Linked DNA regions of Stegostoma tigrinum. The main gene of each other region encodes a partner of the protein of the gene in region 2 in a complex. Links are inferred from orthologs where the notes say so. Each region holds a gene or a part of one and is shown on either strand. Other genes may lie near its edges.

Region 1 (10,448 bases), on a different chromosome or scaffold from region 2:
TTGGTATAGTGCACAAACTCAAGAGTCTCAAGATTCTCCAAGACAATGCTTTCAACTTGAACGATTTCCTTCCCACTGGAATCCATTACCAGAGTTTTGATGGTTGGGGTGCTGTACTGTAGATCATACAAGATACACTGCAGCTAATTGCCAAGACTATTCACAAAGTATCTCCCAACTTGTAATTTTTGAACAGGCACAGACTGTTGATGAAAGCATCACCTCCAAGTTGATCGCCATACCTTATCAATACAGGGGATTAGTGAACAGTGATCAACAGAAAGCGGGGTTCCAAAAATTTTGATTTCCTCTCTCAAGCCCAATATTGTTTCCACCCCTCAACACATCTTCAACTACGTTTTGGTTAAGACTGCTGCCATACTAGGCATTATAATACATCTACTACAGGGGTAGAAATGTGTCAAGATAAAATTTGAATATTTCTGAAGAGAGAGACATGCTGTCAAAGCTTCATCAGGGCAGATGAATACAGGGAGAGCTAGCCATTTGGCTACAAACTTGGTTTGAAGGTAGGAGAACGTGGTGGTGGATGGTTGTTTTTCGGACTGCAGTCCTGTGACCAGCAGTGTGCCACAAAGTTCAGGGCTGAGTTCACTGCCTTCTGTTGTTTATATAAATGATTTGGATGTGAACATAGGAGGTATGATTAGTAGATGTGCAGATGACACCAAAGTCAGTGGTGCAGTGAACAATGAAGAAGGTTACCTCAGAGCACAAAAAGACCTTGATCAGATGGACCAATGGGCTGAGGAATGGCAGATGAAGTTTAATTTAGATAAATGTGAGATTTTGCATTTTGTAAGGCAAACCAGGCAGAACTTACACACTTAATGGTAGGGTCTTGGGCAGTGTTGCCAAATGAAGTGGCCTTGGGTAGACAGGGTAGTGAATAAACTGTTTTGTACACTTGCCTCCATTGGTCAGTGCACTGAGTACAGGAATTGAGATGTCATGTGGTGGCTGTACATGGCACTGGATAGGCCACTTTTGGAATGTTGTGTTCAATTCTGGTCTCCCTGCAATAGGAAAGATTGGTTAAACTTGAAAGGGTACAGAAAAGACTTACAAGGATAATGCTGAGGTTGGAGGACTTGAGAGGTTGAATAGGCTGGGGTTGTTTTCCCTGGAGCATCGGAGGCTGAGGTGAGTGACTTATAGAGGTTTATAAAATCATGAGGGGCGTGGATTATGTGAATAGCCAAGGTCTTTTTACACAGGGTAGGGAAGTCCAAAACTAGAAGGCATAGGTTTAAGGTGAGAGGGGAAAGATTTAATAGGGGCCTAAAGGGCAACTTTTACACAGAGAGGGTGGTGCATGTATTGAATGAGATGTCAGAGGAAGTGGTGGAGGCTGGTACAGTTGCAATGTTTGAAAGGCATCAGAATGGTTACATGAATTGGAAGAGTTTAGAGGAATATGGACCAAATGCTGGCAAATGAGTCTATATTAATATCGGAAACCTGATCAGCATGGATGAGTTGGACTGAAAGGTACAGCCCAGCTGTAGACTGCCGTACAGCCCTATGACTCTAAAAATATAAAATTCCCAAGGAAGCAATTATTTATACTACATGAAAGGATGTATTGGCACTGGAAAGGGTGCAGAGGAGGTTCACTAGGTTGATTCCACAGTTCAGAGAGTTGGCTTATGAGGAGGCATTGAGAGTAGAATGGGAGTATACTCATTGGAATATTGAAGAATGAGGGGGAAACTTATCAAACAATATAAAATTATAAATGGAATATATAAGGTAGAAGCAGGGAAGTTGTTTCCACTGGCAGGTGAAACTAGAACTAGGCGTACAGCCACAATATAAGGGGTAGCAGATTTAGGAGTGAGTTGAAGAGAAACTTCTTCACCCAAAGGGTTGTGAATCTGTGGAATTCCCATCCCAGTGAAGTGATTGAGGCTATCTCATTGGATGTTTTTAAGGCAAAGATACTGAGATTTTTGAACCTGGGAGGAAATAGGTTTTATGGTGAGTGGGCAGGTAAGTCCATGAGTTGAGTCCATGAAAAAATTGGCCATGACCTTATTGAATGGTAGAATAGACTCAATGGGCCAGATAGCCTCCTCCTGCTTCTATTTTTAATGATCTTATGAGAATAGAATGTTGATTGGTTATTAAGTCAGCTCTGATTGGCCCAACTATTACTATTAAAAATGTACCATGGGGTGATTGTTCCGATGTTTTTGTTTATTTCAGAAATGGAGCAATGTCTGGCCAAACCACTTTTGTTGCATATGACTGCTTGTGGATCAGTGTCGGCGTAAGTGAGCTACAATGCACCATTCCCAACTAGTAATCTTAAATTCATTGTTAGTGTAATTCCTAGTACATTGAGTTCTTCAGTAAATGCTGCCCTGTCACAGAATCACATCTAAACTTTAAACCTGTCCTCTGCAGAATAACTCAGTGCCACCTTTCTTCAGGCTGGCACTTATTTAAACCCAGTAGCCAGTGGAAAAGTACAAAGTAGGGTCTGTCTGTTTGTGTATGTGGAGGCATGTTTTTAATAGTCTGAAAACTTGTCAAAACGTTTAAAAGAAAATATGGATTAATTACTGGTAGAAGTAATGAGAGAAGGAAAATACCAGTTGCCATCAAGCTAGTCCCACGCTGATCACAGTTACAGTATTATACACTTGCTTCTAACCATCACCATATAATCACATGGAAAAAGGGTAAAAAAAAAATCCCTGCAAAGTTTCTCTTTGATCTGTTCAAGTTATGGAAACTAAGCTGTATGGTGGCACTGACCATGTATACAGTAACTGCTAATCCATTGACCTTCTCTGATACAGCTCCTTCACCAGAGAGGAAACACACCAGCGGCTTTTTAAAGCACAGTGATGCTCAATAGCCACCTTTCTACTTCTTCAAAGTCCTCCAAATGATCCCTTCTTCATCCCTCTAAATGGCAAAGCTGTTTCCTATTGAAGTGGGGAGTTGGGGTGGGGCTATCTGTAGATAATGATATCTACAAAATATAACCACAACTGTCTCATATCGCACCTCAAACTCAGTGAAATATACCAATGGGCTTCAGAGCAGTGCAATTGAGTAAAATTTAGTACAACAATAGGGAGGTAATAAGCAAGGTGACCGAGAAGGTAAGCTTTTAGGGAGCATCTTAAAGGAAAACTGCTGACAATTCCCTTTTTGATATTATTACGATTTAGATGTAATATAGATATTTCATAGGAACCGTATGTGCATATAGAACAATTATTAATCATCAAAGCATCACAAGTGATGGTTTGATAGCAAACAGAAGTTTTGGAACGACAGAACTGGCGAAAGTAAAGGTTCTTCTGAAGTTGTATAGTGTGTTCCTACGATCTCCCGCTGTTTGTCAGATCAAGGAGAAAAAGCACTGAAAATGCTGGTACTTTGGACACTGCCTATTGTTTCTCAACATCATGCTGAGTGATCTACTCCTGTTACCAAGTCTTCCCCATCGATTACAAAATCAGAGGGAAGCCAGAAAGATAAGTTTGCAGCGAACTTCCCAAAGTCTGTGAAGTCGAACTCACCGAAAAGCGAGAGTATCCCGCAGGCGGTCCACATAACCAGGGCCATCCCTACGGTGCCAGTGTGCTTCAGGATTCCCTTGGGAGAGATGAAGATGCCCGCTCCGATGATCGTGCCGATAATGATCGATATTCCTCTCAGCAGAGTCACTTTCTTCTTTAACCGCACCTTGTCCCGGGGGCTGTCATTTTGCTGCCGGGATCCCCCCTCAGGGGGCAGGAAACCCTTGGTGCCCCCGCTGGGGGGTTCTCCGCTAGAGATCGCCGATATTGCGCTGCTGGACATGTTGCTCAATTTCAGCGGGGAGCCACCGGTGCCTCTCGCTACACACTCCCTGGCTCACTGAATGCCACGGGGCTCTGCGCCCTGGCAGGTGGATGTGTGATTTAAATCGGATTCTGGCCTCGAACACTCATATCACAGATTAGCTCCGTGTATGTGTGTGTGCATCAGGCTCTGTGTGTTCGTTAGTCTGTGCGTGTCTGTTTGGCTCTGTCTGTGTTTGGTTCTGCTGCACTAGACCCTCCTAAAAGTAACAAGCCCGCTTCCGCCGGCTCTTTATTCAGCCCCGGGCAAACAAACACTTAGTTGATGTCATTACTGGGGATGTGTTGCATCAGCCAGCGAATATTACTCAGCACTTTCCCCGTACCCTCGCTGCTTGGGCAACTCAAATTCCTTCACACGTTTTCTATCACTTTGATTCCCTCTCCTTATTTCTGCGCGACTCTCTTAACTACCATCCCCTTTTTTCGAAGACAAAACACGACTAAACGTTTCAGGTATTCTGACTTCCTGAGCACCCTACTTCAACGGAAATCTTATTTCAATACCTGTGTGTGTGAATATATTGAACATTAGAGGCAGCAACTGATCTGCAGTAGTTTAATTAATTTCTCCTCATCCAGTGACCTGTAAGTGGTTATGACACACTTCTAGGGCAAGTAAGGACTTGATTCCCAATCTTCACTGCACCATAAGGCCCTCTTGCCCTTTTGTTGTATGTACACAGGGACGCGGTGGCACTCCGGTCTACTGTGATGTTGGAAATATTCGCACAAATAGTGACTCACATACACAAACATAAAACAAACACTCCCACTACTGAAATCTCAGAGAATTCTATCACCTTTCTAGATTGTTCTTGTCCAATGACTCAGCAGGTTACCCTCCCACATTCTCAATCAGAAGTTACACCACATCAGGCTGTAGTCCAACAGGTTTATTTGAAATCACAAGTTTTTGAAGCGCTGTTCCTTCACCTGTCGGAGGGGCTGTGCTCTGAAAGCTTGTGATTTCAAGTAAACCTATTAGACTATAACTTGGTGTGGTGTGACTTCTGACTTTGCCCAGCCCAGTCTGACACTGGCACCTCCACATCACAATGTTCTCAATCAAAACTCCAGCTCAATCAAAATTCTGTTGCTCGAATCCTGTCCCATGTCATATCTTCCTCAAGCAGCATTCCAATCCTTGCTGACAAAGCTTGATATCCATAGTCTTTGATCTGAAACACGGGCTGAAACTTACATCTCTATGTTGAAGTGTCAGTTTCATTGAGTTCCATGGAAGAGTTTATCTCTGGATGGCCTGACGAAATCTCACACTGCATCTGACCAAACTCACCTCATTAACTACCTACCCCACTGCTGTAACTTCTTTCTCACTGAAATCTAGCCTCACCCCATCAATTGCCATTTTTGGAACTCGACAACCAACAGATATCCATTTAAAAACTGGCGCCCATGCCATCTTTAAAAGGCTACTGTGCCCCTGGAAAAGTGTTGTAAGCTTGTTGTTGCATCTCACCAGCAACACAATGGCACAGCCATCACAAAACCTCACTGCCTACAGCATGGCGCTGGCATGGCTAACACATCCTCATCCATACAACCCCATTTTTCCACCCTAAGCACTGTAAACAACAAGGCAATGTCCTTATATATATCCCATATGAACATCCTCTCTACGTCACCTCCACTATACAGAAGAATATAAGAACTAGGAGCAGGAATAGGTTGTCCGGCCCTTCAAGCCTGCTCTGCCATTCAATAAGATCACGGCTGATCTTTTCATGGACTCAGATCCACTTACCCGCGCTCTCACCGTATCCCTTAATTCCTTTATTGTTCAAAAAAATATCTATCTTAGCTTTAAAAACATTTACTGAAGTAGCGTCAACTACTCCACTGGGCAAGGAATTCCATATTTTAGCAACCCTCTGGGTGAAGAAGTTCCTTCTCAATTCAGTCCTAAATCTGCTCCCTGTAATCTTGAGGCTATACCCTCTCGTCCTAGCTTCACCTGCCAGTGGGAACATCCTCTCTACTTCTATCTTATCTATTTCCTTCATAATTTTATATGTTTCTGTAAGATCCCCCCTCAATCTTCTGAATTCCAATGAATATAATCCCAATCTACTCAGTCTCTCCTCATAAGCAACCACCTCAACTCCGGGATCAACCCAGTGAACCTCCTTTGCACCCCCTCCAGTGCCAGTACATCCTTTCTCAAGTACTGAGACCAAACCTGCACACAATACTCCAGGTATGGCCTCACCAGCACCTTGTACAGCTGCAGCATAACCTCTCTGCTTTCAAACTCAATCGCTTCAGAAATAAAGGAAAAAAGTCCATTTGCCTTCCTAATTACTTGTTGTACTTGTAGACCAACCTTCTGTGATTCCTGCACAAGGACACCCAGGTCCCTCTGCATGGCAGCATGCTGCAACTTTTTACCATTCAAGTAATAATCCTTTTAGCCAAATCCAAAATTGGAGTCCCCAACTCCAAATCATCTATATAAATTGTAAATAATTGTGGTCCCAACATCTATCCCTGAGGCACACCACTGGTCACTGATTGCCAGCCAGAATATCCCCACTCATTTATCCCCACTCTTTGCTTTCTGTTAGTCAACCTCTACCCATGCTAATACTTTACCCCTAACACCATGCAACTTATCTTATGCAGCAGCCTTTTGTGCACCACCTTGCCAAAGGCCTTTTGGAAATCTAGGTACTCCACATCCACTGGGTCCCCATTGTCCACCTTGCTCGTAATGTCCTCATAGAATTCCAAAAGATTGTCAAGCATGACCTGCCCTTCATGAACCCATGCTATGTCTGCCCAATGGGACAATTTCTATTGAGATGCCTTGCTATTTCTTCCTTGATGATAGACTTAAGCATCTTCCCCACTACAGAGGTTAAGCTAACTGGTCTGTAATTCCCCACCTTTCGTCTAGATCCCTTTTTCAACAGTGGCGTCACATTTACTGTTTTCCAACCTGCTGGGACTGCCCCAGAGTCCAGCGAATTTCGGAAAATTACCACAAGTCCACCTGCTATTTCTCCCGCCATCTCTTTTAGCACCCTGGGATGCATTCCGTCAGGACCAGGAGGCTTATCAATCCTTAGCTCCTTTAGCTTGCCCAACACTACCTCTTCTGTAATAATGATTGTTTCCAGGTCCTCAACTACCTTCGTCTTTTTGTCAATTACTGACATGTTATTAGTGTCCTCCACTGTGAAGAGCGCAATACCAAATACCTGTTCAATGCCTCTGCCATTTCATCATGTCCCAGAACTAAATTCCCCTTCTCATCCTCTAAAGGGCCAACATTTACTTTTGCTACTCTTTTTCATTTTATATATTTATAGAAACTTTTGCTATCTGTCATTATAGTCTGTGCTAGTTTTTTCTCATGTTCAATCTTACTTTTCTTTACAGCTCTTTTTGTGGCTTTCTGTTAACATTTAAAGTTTTCCCAACCTTCTTATTTCACGCCGTTTTTGGCCACTTTGCAAGCCTTCTCTTTTAATTTGATAGCGTCCCTTATTTCCTTAGACACCCATGGCAGATTACCCCTTTTCATACAGACCTTCGTTTTCACTGGATTAAACATAATTCAGAGAAGGCTTGTCTAACAGTAATTTGTTTCCTTTGTCTGCTGTCACCTTCTGAGGTAGACAGCCACAGTGACCAACATCTCATCAGCGACTGGGTGCATGACACTTTTTGTAAATGACTTTAGTTTGGAACATTTGGAGTAAAATAGGCCCTTAGTGCAGAACAATCATTGGTGTCAGGCCCTGAAAATGAGGGATACACACAGTCTTTCACACACCGATAAGTGGGGCTGTGTATCATTCATTCAGCTTCAACCTCAGAATATTCACTAGCTTGAGGAAAGAGCCATCCTGACTGAGTGATCAACAGATTACATCACAGAGGCTGTGACTGTGATGCACAACCTCCTTACCATCCCAAACCCAAATCAACCATGAAATTCATCATTGAATTCCATGAATCCATTGTCATACTTACTTGACAGGTCATATATCTCCACTTCGCACAGTGCCCTTGCAAGTTTCACAGTTATTGGTTGTTTTTGGCAAGTATATGCCTTTTTTTCAAGTTGTTGCTGTAAATTTCTGCATTACTGAGATATCATTGTTAGATTTACAAAGGCCAGTTGTGTATTCCAAATTGTCTTTGACTAGCTTTTGTACCCAGATCTCTGCCAGACTTTCACGACTAACACAACACCTGGCTGCTGTCTTTTTAACATCATGACTGCCAATATACAATTCTCCTGGCTCTACGGGATTGACTGTTGCCCACTACCTGGACTGTGATCAGATGTATCCCCTGACTGCAGCTTGCCCAAGCAGACAACTGACCTTGTCAAGCCTCTCATTTCCCTGACTGTCACTGGACTGAGGAGTATCTCTCAACCACTTTCTAACATGATCATTTGGTTGAACAATCATGTATTTGCCCAACAGTCATTTGGCATGAGTTGTGTGAGTTAAATTGATGCCTCAGTTTACCGTACAGCAAAATTTCCCTCAAACTCCCCAAACAAATCCCTACAGACAAGCAGCCTGACTGCATCATCAATAATCAGAAAAAAATAACTCTCCCTAGAGAAGGAAATCTGTCATCCTTACCTGGTCCAGCCTACATTCCAAATTCACAAGACTGGTTAACTCATAATGGCCTTCCAAAATGGCTAATCAGGCCATTCAATTCACGGACAAATAGGGATGGGCAACAAATGTTGGTGTTGACTATGGTGCTGACTTCCATTAAAATAAGTTCTTAAAACCTGTAACTTAATCATAACAAAATGCTCCTTTAAACTGCTGTCTGAGTTTAAATAGAAGGAGTATGTACTTAATTTATTTAATCCAGCCTTCTTTTCTCTTCCTCTTCAATTGTAAGGCAGTGAAGGCCTGTTTTTTGCAGTTGCGGAATGTCAAAAATGAGAATATAGCATCATGCGTGGAGGAAGCGTAGCTCCATTCTGTTTTGTCCCTACCTCAACAGCTTACTAAAGAACTTCCATTCAGATAGCAGCACAGTAGGTTGTTCTAGCTGATGCTGATCTGGTCCACCAATTCTTTTCCTTTTTTGTCTCTCTCTCTTCCTCCCTTCTGTGGCTTTCTTCTCCTCTTCTGTCTTCTCAGAGTCTTGGCCTTGGTCACCCAGCCCCAACCTTTGAAGCGGGGACGCCAGTAAACACTGACCCGAAGCAGGGATGGCAGCGACCAGCAGCCTGAAGCAGGGATGCCAAGAATACTGGCCTGAAGCGGGACACCAACGGCTCGGTGTGAAACGGGATTGTGGCTGGTGTGGAGCGTGACAGCTGCGACCCAGTGCAGAGAGTGACAACAGTGGCCTGGTGCGGAGCATATTGGCAGCCAGTGATCAGGCCACATGGAGGCCTCCTGGGCTGATCTGATGTGGAGAGCCCTTGGAGAAAGGCTGTGATGTTTGTCTTCTTAACATTGCTTTATCTTTTTCTGATCTATGGTTATACTGTATATAGCTGTAACGTAACTGTTTTGTCTTTGTTTTTCTATTCTGCAACTAAGAATTGTAACTAGGTACAACTAAGCTGGCAGTGTGTGTTGGTGACACTGTAATTGAACCTGTAACTGAAGAAGCTGTTCCTGGGTACCTATATACCTAAATGGGGCTATAAGTGGTGACTTATAAACTTTACATTGTACTCATTTAAGTACATGTGACAATAAAGATAATTCAACATTCAATATTCAGATGGTTATATCCATTACAATTATAAATGGATGAAACTTGGCTAGAAAGTTTGTTTTAACTGAGATTCATATCCAGATTTTGTAAGTGACGAGGAACTCAGACCCACTCTCTGTCATTCAAGAATTTTCAACCAGCTGTACACATCACAAATGGATGAATAGGCTGCTCAGGTTTCTCTTAAAAGAGAAGGTGGAGGGGCTAAAAGATCTCAAAAAGTACTAAAGGTTTTGATTGAGTTGATACAAGGAGCATATTTCCTTTGCTGGAAAGAACTAGACTAAAATCCAACAGTATATATAGTCCGAGGGAAATCCAGCAGAAAATTCAGAGGAAATTAATTTACACAAAGAAGGATGAAAATGTAGAAGCTGCTATCACAGGCAGTAGTTGAAACATGGAATATAGATGGAGTTGGTGGGCAGCTTAGGTATATACTTGATAGATAAAGGGGTAGAGTGATGCTGATAGTGTTAGGAAGAGTGGGAAAAATCTTAAGTGGAACATAAGCACCAAGAGATTTGAAATCCGGTGGTAATTGGCCATCATCAACATACACAAGGTGAATTCCAGTATTCATCATGTCTCTACAGACAGCTCACCCAAAGAAAGTCATCTATTTTGGTCCAGCTGCTGTACAGTTACAGACCTCAGGTAAGTTTCAAAATGAGATTTAGAGTGGGCTACGAGTGGATGGTCACACATGAAGTTGGTGTGTGTTAATTTCACTTCTTTGACTCCTCAAAGCTTTCTTTTATAACAAGAAATATTTTTTGAAACTTACTTCCATGGGCAGCTCTTGGGATTGGAGAAAAAATCTGAGCT
Region 2 (10,188 bases):
TGTGTTCATCCAGCCTCACATTTTATCATCTTGGAATCTCCAGCATCTGCAGTTCCCATTATCACTGGACACAGTGATCTCAGTAAACACTGATCACAGTAAACAAGTTGCTGGTTTCTGGTGTTGGGGTCAGGCTTCCAATACACAAGCTAGCCTGGCTGCAAAATTAAAATGTTCGAATAACAAATTGTGTCTGTGACAAGAGTACAACCTTAAGGAGGAACCCCCCCCCCCCCCCCCCAGCTCAGATTTGACCAGTCAGGAACTGGTTAATCAGGGTGAGCACAAACTGGACTCTCATTTAGTCGCATTGTCAGGTTAGAGAATGGTGTTTAACACTCGGCAGCCACAGAACCAGGAGTAGCCCATGGTAAATCATACTCTCTCCCTCAGAAATGGTGCAGGAAGGATCCATTGGTCCATCAGGGATGCCTCAACTCTTGGAGGATTTCAGTTCAGGGCCATTCCCTCAGCTTGGTCACGGGACAAATAACCCAGCCTGTTAGTTACTTTCTATTGCATTGTGCAGTGCACAAAAAGATCCCAGAACCTGTTTCCCCGTTTGAGTGAATCTGGCTTAGTTACTGTTCAGAATCATCAACAGGAAAAAAAGAACATTCCCTCTCACTTTCTTACTGGCTGTGTACGCCTCCATGGCCTGTGTGAGGCAGTAACTTCCAGAACCCAAGATCATCACTGCGATCAGCTTCCGGACTCCAATCACTGTGCACAGAACACAGGGTGGCTTCATACACAACCTATCGAGGGAACATTACAGGGTGGTCCCTGGGTTACTGTTCCACCCAAAGACAGCACCTCTGACAGTGCTTACTCCCTCAGCATTGACCCTCCGACAGTGCGGCGCTCCCTCAGCACTGACCCTCCAACAGTGCGGCGCTCCCTCAGCACTGACCCTCCGACAGTGCGGCGCTTCCTCAGCACTGACCCTCTGACAATGTGGCGCTCCCTCAGCACTGACCCTCCAACAGTGCGGCGCTTCCTCAGCACTGACCCTCTGACAGTGCGGCGCTCCCTCAGCACTGACCCTCCGACAGTGCGGCGCTTCCTCAGCACTGACCCTCCGACAGTGCCTGCTCCCTCAGCACTGACCCTCTGACAATGTGGCGCTCCCTCAGCACTGACCCTCCAACAGTGCGGCGCTTCCTCAGCACTGACCCTCTGACAATGTGGCGCTCCCTCAGCACTGACCCTCCAACAGTGCGGCGCTCCCTCAGCACTGACCCTCCGACAGTGCGGCGCTCCCTCAGCACTGACCCTCCGACAGTGCGGCGCTTCCTCAGCACTGACCCTCTGACAATGTGGCGCTCCCTCAGCACTGACCCTCCAACAGTGCGGCGCTTCCTCAGCACTGACCCTCTGACAGTGCGGCGCTCCCTCAGCACTGACCCTCCGACAGTGCGGCGCTTCCTCAGCACTGACCCTCCGACAGTGCCTGCTCCCTCAGCACTGACCCTCCAACAGTGCGGCGCTCCCTCAGCACTGACCCTCCGACAGTGCGGCGCTTCCTCAGCACTGACCCTCCGACAGTGCCTGCTCCCTCAGCACTGACCCTCTGACAATGTGGCGCTCCCTCAGCACTGACCCTCCAACAGTGCGGCGCTCCCTCAGCACTGACCCTCCGACAGTGCGGCGCTCCCTCAGCACTGACCCTCCGACAGTGCGGCGCTTCCTCAGCACTGACCCTCCGACAGTGCCTGCTCCCTCAGCACTGACCCTCTGACAATGTGGCGCTCCCTCAGCACTGACCCTCCAACAGTGCGGCGCTCCCTCAGCACTGACCCTCCGACAGTGCGGCGCTCCCTCAGCACTGACCCTCCGACAGTGCGGCGCTCCCTCAGCACTGACCCTCCGACAGTGCGGCACTCCCTCAGCACTGACCCTCCGACAGTGCCTGCTCCCTCAGCACTGACCCTCCGACAGTGCGGCGCTCCCTCAGCACTGACCCTCCGACAGTGCCTGCTCCCTCAGCACTGACCCTCCGACAGTGCCTGCTCCCTCAGCACTGACCCTCCGACAGTGCCTGCTCCCTCAGCACTGACCCTCCGACAGTGCGGCGCTCCCTCAGCACTGACCCTCCGACAGTGCGGCGCTCCCTCAGCACTGACCGTCCGACAGTGCGGCACTCCCTCAGCACTGACCCTCCAACAGTGCGGCGCTCCCTCAGCACTGACCCTCCGACAGTGCGGCACTCCCTCAGCACTGACCCTCCGACAGTGCCTGCTCCCTCAGCACTGACCCTCCGACAGTGCGGCGCTCCCTCAGCACTGACCCTCCGACAGTGCCTGCTCCCTCAGCACTGACCCTCCGACAGTGCGGCGCTCCCTCAGCACTGACCCTCTGACAATGTGGCGCTCCCTCAGCACTGACCCTCCGACAGTGCGGCGCTTCCTCAGCACTGACCCTCCGACAGTGCGGCGCTCCCTCAGCACTGACCCTCCGACAGTGCGGCGCTCCCTCAGCACTGACCGTCCGACAGTGCGGCACTCCCTCAGCACTGACCCTCCAACAGTGCGGCGCTCCCTCAGCACTGACCCTCCGACAGTGCGGCACTCCCTCAGCACTGACCCTCCGACAGTGCCTGCTCCCTCAGCACTGACCCTCCGACAGTGCGGCGCTCCCTCAGCACTGACCCTCCGACAGTGCCTGCTCCCTCAGCACTGACCCTCCGACAGTGCGGTGCTCCCTCAGCACTGACCCTCTGACAATGTGGCGCTCCCTCAGCACTGACCCTCCGACAGTGTGGCGCTTCCTCAGCACTGACCCTCTGACAGTGCGGCGCTTCCTCAGCACTGACCCTCCGACAGTGCGGCGCTCCCTCAGCACTGACCCTCTGACAGCGCGGTGCTCCTTCAGCACTGACCGTCCGACAGTGCCCGCTCCCTCAGCACTGACCCTCCGACAGCGCAGTGCTCCTTCAGCACTGACCCTCCGACAGTGCCCGCTCCCTCAGCACTGACCCTCCGACAGTGCCCGCTCCCTCAGCACTGACTCTCCGACAGTGCGGCACTCCCTCAGCACTGACCCTCTGATAGTGCCCACTCCCTCAGCACTGACCCTCCGACAGTGCCCGCTCCCTCAGCGCTGACCCTCCGACAGTGCGGCACTCCCTCAGCTCTGACCCTCCGACAGTGCCCGCTCCCTCAGCACTGACCCTCCGACATTGCCCGCTCCCTCAGCACTGACCCTCCGACAGTGCCCACTCCCTCAGCGCTGACCCTCCAAATGAGTTGTGTTCCCTTCTGACACGTGACCTTCCTTCTGTTTGGACACTGACCAGAACTGTACACTGTACTGCAGATGTGGTCTCACCAATGCCCTGTATGACTGAACCCTAAACTCTCTACTATTTCCATTAAGTCCTCTTGCGAGTATTGAGTGCAGTTTTGTTGCCCCTCTTACTCAATGCTCCACAATTATGTGTTTTTCTTTAGGTTTGATATTATCTTTGAACTTCTTAGTTAGCCATGGAAGGTGGATCCATCCCATGATTTTTTTCTTGCTGATTGAAATGTCTCTATTCTGTATATTCTGAAATATCCCCTGCATTGAATCTATTGACCTAAACTTTAACCTAATTTGCCAATTCACTTTAGCGAGCTCTTTTTTCATGTCCTGATAGTTCCCCTTATTTAAAAATAGCCTCAAACACACTCAAATTTCCCTCAAACTGAATGTAAAATTCCATTGTATTGTGTTACTGCTTTGTAGGGGCTTGTTTACTGTGAGATCATTAATGAAGTCTACCTTGTTGCACAGCACTGGATTCAGTATAGCCTGCTCTCTGGTTGGCCCTATAACATGCTGTTCCAAAAAAACTATCTGGAAAACATTCTGAGCTACCTTGCCCATCTGAATTTTTTTAGTTTATATGTAACTTTGTGAATAATTCTTGTTGTGTCATCCTGACAAGCTTCTTTAGGCTCCACCCTACCATGCAGTGATTGTCAAGGGCCTGCGTACCACTCCCACAAGTGACTTCTTGCCTTTATCTCTTCTTATCTCAATTTAGACCATTTCTACAACCTCATCCCTGAACCTAGGCCCAAACTTCTGAAGAAGGGTCCTGACCCAAAACATCAGCTTTCCTGATTCTCTGATGCTGCCTGACCTGCTATGTTCCTCCAGCTCCACACTGTTGTTCTGGATGTGAGTTTGCTCGCTGAGCTGGAAGGTTAGTTTTCACTGTTGTCTTTGACTCCGGAATCAGCAGTTTTTACTATCTCATCCTTCTCTATTGTATGCCTGCCATCATTAATGAACAGAGCCACCCCTCTGCCTTTTCCTAGCTCATTCTTTCCCTAAATATCAGAGTCCTGATGAAGGCTCCTGACCCGAAACGTCAGCTTTCCTGCTCCCCGATGCTGCCTGACCTTCTGTGTTCCTCCAGCTCCACACTGTATTGACTCTGTATCCTAAAATATACAGATGCTTATCCACAGTATCTTATAGCCATGTCTCTGTCATGGCTACCAAAGCACATCTATTCACTTCTATTTGTGCTTTCAATTCAGCCATTTTGTTTATCAATTACAGACAGTTCAATTCCAGATCCTAAATACTCACTGTGTGAAAGAGATTCCTTTTGCCTTGCAATTGCACTTTTTTCTGCGTCTTCTGGTTCTTGATCCTTTAACACAGAATAGCTTCTCCCTGTCAACTCTGTCCACATATCTCATGACTTAGAAAAACTCTATTAAATCTTCTCAAGTGTTTTGAAATGCATGGTATGGGGGTGGGGAGGGAGGGTTGGAGAATGGGTGAAGCAAGTGTAGTGACATGAATGCAAAACTGGTTGGCAGACAAGAGACAAAAAGTGGCAACAAACAGGTCACTTTCGCAAGTGGCAGCCAGTGACTAATGACGTACTGCAAGGTTCAATATTCGGACCCCAACTATTCACAACATACACAAATAATTTAGATGAGGAAACTAAGTGTAATGTCTAAGTTTGCAGAGGGTGAACTGTGCGGTAGGTGCAGAGATGCTTCAGTGTGATTTCAACAAATTGAATCCATGGGCAAATGTATGGCAGATGCAGTTTAATGTGGACAAATGTGAGGTTATCCACTTTGGGAGCAAAACCAGGAAGGCAGATTCTGATCTGAATGGTGATAGATTGAGAAAGAGGGAGGTGTCGTCGTGCAACAGTCGCTGAAAGTAAGAAGTAACATTGCAGCTTCAGCAGAAACCAAAGGGAAATGGTCTGTTGGCCTGCAGAGAGAGAGATTTCGAGAACATGAACAAGGTGCCTTGCTCAATTCCACAGGGTCTAGGTGAGGCCATATATGGAGTATTGTGTTAGAAAAAAAATGCAGATGCTGGAATCTAGGTGGACAAACAGGAGGCTGGAAGAACACAGCAAGCCAGGCAGCGTCTGCAGGAAAGGAGCAATCAACATTTTGAGCGTTACCCTTCCTCAGGACAGTTTGTCGACCTGGAGTGTTGTGTGCAGTTTTGGTGGGCCTTTCAGCAAAAGATGTTCTAGCTATGAGGGAGTACAATGAAAGTTAATGAGACTGATTCCTGGGAGATCAGTTAGGGCCATATTCACTGGAATTTAGAAGAATGAGGGGGTTATCTCATAGAAACCTATAAAATTCTAACTGGACCAGAGAAGGTAAATGCAGGAAGGACATCTCCTTTCCTAACCTTCTCTGTTCTGATCAGAATAATTCCAACTCTCCAGTCTGTCTACATTTCCTGAAGTCCTTGTGCCCCTGAGATTTTTGGTAAATCTTCCACGTTGTGAACATTGGAAGTTCCACCTTAAATTCTGCAGTGACGAGGAGAGGAGGAGACAAGGCAGAACGTTAAAAAGGGGAAGGGAGGGAGGCGGAGTTCCTCAGAGAAAGAGAGACGGACTGAAGGCGGGAGTGGGCTCCGAGAGAACACACAGTTGTAGTTTTAAAGCCCTGCGGCTTAGTGCTTGGAGGATTATTACTGCGATAGTATTACAGGCTTTGGAGTATTACAGGGCAGTGGGGAGCAGTCTTGCAGAATCAGGAGGGCTGTGGGGACGGTATTGCAGCGTTAGCGGGGCTGTAGGGGCGGAAGGATGAGCTCAGAGGCCGGGATGAAGGATGCTGAGTTGGGCCTGAAGGAGGTTGAGCTGAATGAGGTGGACCAGGAGAAGGTACCGATGACAGCGGGCCTGCCTGGGGATACAAACGGGGCTCTGAAGGGGGAGAAGGGAGAAGTGAGCGGCGGCTCTGGGCTTCGTGTTGGACCGGGCTCCCCCTCCGTGTTCACGGGCCTGAGTAAAGAGGAGTTGCTGGCGGTAGCGAGTAGCCCGGCCTGGGTTCGGAGCCGCTGGCTGCTCCTGGCCCTGTTCTGGCTGGCCTGGCTCGCTATGTTGGCCGGGGCCGTGCTCATTATTGTCCGGGCCCCGCGCTGCCGCCCGCTCCCTGCCGCCCGATGGTGGCACCGCGGCGGCCTCTACCGCATCCACAGCCCGGCCTTCCAGGACTCGGATGGAGACGGCGAGGGGGACCTTGCAGGTACCGGGGGGGGGAAAGAAGGGGCACCGGGGGTCGGGTACTCGGGTTCGGGGAGGGAGGGAGGGAACCGGGGGTTGGGGGGAGGGGCTGTGGGTAGCGGCGGTAGGTCTCCGGTTGCGTCAGCCTGAGGGGCGGGTCATTGCTCACCTTTAAACCTCAGGCCCCGCCCCTGGACGTCACGTGCTCCGGGATGGGGCGGGGCGGGGCGTGGCGGCGGAGGGGGGGTGCGTGTGCGCGCGTGCGCATTAAGGACGAGGAGATATGATGGGGAGTTCTAGAACCAGCAGAGGTTTTTGGGGGTGGGGTGGGTTTTGCTGAGACAGCAGAGGGGAGGCCTGGGACAGGGCAGCGAAGGGTGGCTGGATGGGGTGATGTGTGGCTGGGATCTGGTCTGGGACAGGATTACCAGCTTTTGGGAGCGAGGACTGTGGTGTGGTTCAGCCCCTGGGACTCAAGTGTTTATTTGCTATCGCCTGCAGGAGTGAGCCAGAGAATGGAGGAGATTGCTGCCCTCAAGGTCAAAGGCATTATCATTGGTCCAATCCACCAGAATGTTGCAGACATGGTCAATGAGACCAGGCTGAACAAGATCGATAGCACATTTGGCAGCTTGGAACAGATGCAGAACCTGCTAGAGGTGGCCAAGAGGAAAGGTAATTGTGAAAGCTCTCAAACTTTACTGGACTGTTCAGTAAATGTCATCAAACTGCAACATTACTGGGAAAAGGTCCTCCCTTCTGGGTGAATGCAAACCACAAGGGCCCCCCTGTCTGTGAATAAGAGGCAGTTCTGATTTAAAAATCTCGTAGACTATGGAGTGCAAGTGTGGGAGAAGGATCGGAGCGGCATTGATCACTGACCAGTGGAATCTGTGATTGCCTGCATGGATCTGGAGTATATCCTTCGTCAGGTGAGGTGACCCGAATTGCACACAATACTCCAGGTGCAAGCTCACCAGTGTACAGTGTAATTGAAACAATACTTCTGAGTTCCTGTACATAATGCTCTTGTAAGGCTTTGGAGTAGATCTGTAGCTCGGGCTGTGGGGGTTTTCAAACTCTGGGGTCCGTTGCGATGGATTGCCTCAATTCCGGGATTCCTCCGTAGTGGAATGTACCTGGGGCCAAGTTCAATGTGTTTATTAACAGCCTGCTTCGTGGAGTGCCATGCTTCCAGGATTTCTCGTGCTTGTCTCGGCTGAGCCTGTCCCAGGATCTCCAATGTAGTCAATACAGCAACACTTTCATGGACTGGTCCACTACATCGGACAAACAGGAAGGAAACCAAACAACAAAACTACATGAACACCAACTGGCTACAAAAAGACATGACCAGTACACACTCAGCTCAATCCACGTGGACAAGGAGAACCACCACTTTGACTGGGACAACACCAAGATCCTGGGACAGGCTAGGCAGAGACAGGCACAAGAATTTCTGGAAGCATGGCACTTCACGAAGCAGGCTATTTATGGGGCTGAGTTCAATGTGTCTATTAATAGCCTGCTTCGTGAAGTGCCATGCTTCCAGAAATTCTTGTGCCTGTCTCTGCCTAGCCTGTCCCAGGATCTTGGTGTTGTCCCAGTCAAAGTGGTGGTTCTCCTTGTCCACGTGGATTGAGCTGAGTGTGTACTGGTCATGTCTTTTTGTAGCCAGTTGGTGTTCATGTAGTTTTGTTGTTTGGTTTCCTTCCTGTTTGTCCGATGTAGTGGACCAGTCCATGAAAGTGTTGCTGTATTGACTACATTGGAGATCCTGGGACAGGCTCAGCCGAGACAAGCACGAGAAATCCTGGAAGCATGGCACTCCACGAAGCAGGCTGTTAATAAACACATTGAACTTGGCCCCAGGTACATTCCACTACGGAGGAATCCCGGAATTGAGGCAATCCATCGCAACGGACCCCAGAGTTTGAAAACCAGGTGGGAGAACGCACCGTTTCATCAGAGGCTGCACTGAGGATGTTACCAAGCACAGTAACAAAACGTCTGCGGAACAACAAACCAGCTCAGCGAACTAACCAACCTCGATAATCCTGTTGTGCTATATGCTAACAGACTGTTTGTTTGTCTTCTGAACTGTTTACTGGAACCAGCATGTGAGCATTCAGTAACTCCTGGACAAGGACAACTCAGTCCCTTTGTACATCAGCACTCTTCCAATCTCTCACCAGTTCAGAAATGAGTCAGCATTTCTGTGTTTCCTGCCCAAGTGGATACCTTCGCACACATCCACATTATATTCCATCTGCCATATCCCATGCCCAAGTTGTGGATGTTGCTTGTGATTTGGAACCAAGGACAGATCCTTCTGACCGCACACTGGTTACAGGCTACCATCCTGAGAATGACCCAATTATTCCCACTCTCTGCTGGCCCAGATTCTGTTTGTCACCCCCCGCCCCCCGCAACGTGTCAGAATCCCAAAAACCCACAGGTTATCTATCTGCCAATAACGTCTTCATGTTAAAACTCTTAACAAGTTTGCACATGATCTCCCTTTCAGCCAAGTCAACATGGATTTTTCAAACTGATCACCATTTGTTCAAATGCCCAGTTACTAAATCCTTAAACAATGGGGTTACATTTTTCACCCACCAATCCAGGGAATTTTGAAAGCTTATTGCATTAAAAAAACAAACCAAATCTCACCTCTATCCTGTAGCAGCTTGAAACTCAGTCAGATTTTGTGCCCAAACAGGTCTCAAGGTGATTCTTGATCTCACTCCCAATTACAAAGGAAAACAGAAGTGGTTCGGCATTAACTTCAACAGGACTGATGGTGGCCAGGATTTGTTACGGGTATGTGCCATTTCCATAAGGATACGGAGGGTTCCTCTTCCTCTTTGCTGTGGTGAATAGGTTAGGCTGGGCCTTGAGCCCTTCCCCCATCTGATTGGGTTTCAGACTCCTCTCCTGTGTGCTGAGCAAGAGGCAGTCACTATCTCTTGTGACATTGTCCTCGCTTGGGAAAGGGAATTAGGTGAGGGTGCACAGCACAGTATTAGGTAAAGCCTCTTAGAGTCATAGAGCTGTACAGCATGGAAACCAGCCCTTCAGTCCAACACGTCCAGATATCCTAAATAAATCTAGTCCCATTTGCTTGCATTTGACCCATATCTCTCTTAAACCCTTCCTATTCATGTACCCACCCAGATATCTTTTAAATATTGTAATTGTAACAGCCCCCACCACTTTGGCAGCTCGTTCCACACATGTACCACCCTCTGTGTGAAAATGTTGCTCCTTGGGTCCCTTTTATTATCTGTCCCCCCACCAACCCCAACCTTAAACCTATGCCATTTAGAACATAGAATGGCACAGTACAGGCCCTTCAGCCCATGATGTTGTGTTGACCTATTATCCTACCCTGCATACCGTACATTTTACTATCGTCCATGTGCCTATTCAAGAGTCGTTTAAACGTCCGGAATGTATCTGACTCCACTACCCCACCAGTAGTGCATTCCACACAGACACACACACACCACGTGTAAAGAACCTACCTCCAACATCTCCTCCAGACCTTCTTCCAATCATATTAAAATTATGCCCTCTCGTAATAGTCATGTCTGCCCTGGGAGACTCTATCCAGTTCTAGTTTTGGATTTCCCTACTCTCGGCAAAAGACCTTTCTGTGCCAATGATCTGCCACTGCCTGGTATTTTAAA

What was found. The genes of interacting proteins can lie anywhere in the genome.
Region 1: the proteins of slc3a2b (region 2) and slc7a11 are in contact, whole or in part, in a cryo-EM structure (PDB 7P9V), measured with the Homo sapiens proteins. The link is inferred for Stegostoma tigrinum from reciprocal best matches to the Homo sapiens genes SLC3A2 and SLC7A11. Residues at the interface, in NP_002385.3 of Homo sapiens: Glu167, Leu170, Ala173, Trp178, Thr181, Arg182, Phe189, Trp190, Trp193, Met196, Leu197, Gly199, Ala200, Ile203, Ile204, Ala207, Arg209, Cys210, Glu212, Leu213, Lys299, Arg534, Gln559; in NP_055146.1 of Homo sapiens: Leu151, Phe154, Phe155, Ile156, Gln157, Cys158, Glu159, Pro161, Leu163, Ala164, Leu167, Ile168, Ala170, Val171, Thr174, Val175, Val178, Gln217, Gln219, Val360, His373, Thr487, Gln489, Ile490, Ile491, Glu493, Val494, Val495.

What each region holds. Positions count from the first base shown.
Region 1 is NC_081354.1:24,594,136-24,604,583, reverse strand, and holds the start of slc7a11 (cystine/glutamate transporter), read right to left. Parts: upstream 4,085-10,448; 5' UTR 3,844-4,084; coding exon 3,561-3,843; intron 1-3,560. UniProt on the Homo sapiens protein: Heterodimer with SLC3A2, that functions as an antiporter by mediating the exchange of extracellular anionic L-cystine and intracellular L-glutamate across the cellular plasma membrane.
Region 2 is NC_081395.1:2,197,944-2,208,131, reverse strand, and holds the start of slc3a2b (solute carrier family 3 member 2b), read left to right. Parts: upstream 1-5,850; 5' UTR 5,851-6,076; coding exon 6,077-6,518; intron 6,519-6,997; coding exon 6,998-7,171; intron 7,172-9,218; coding exon 9,219-9,319; intron 9,320-10,188. UniProt on the Homo sapiens protein: Acts as a chaperone that facilitates biogenesis and trafficking of functional transporters heterodimers to the plasma membrane.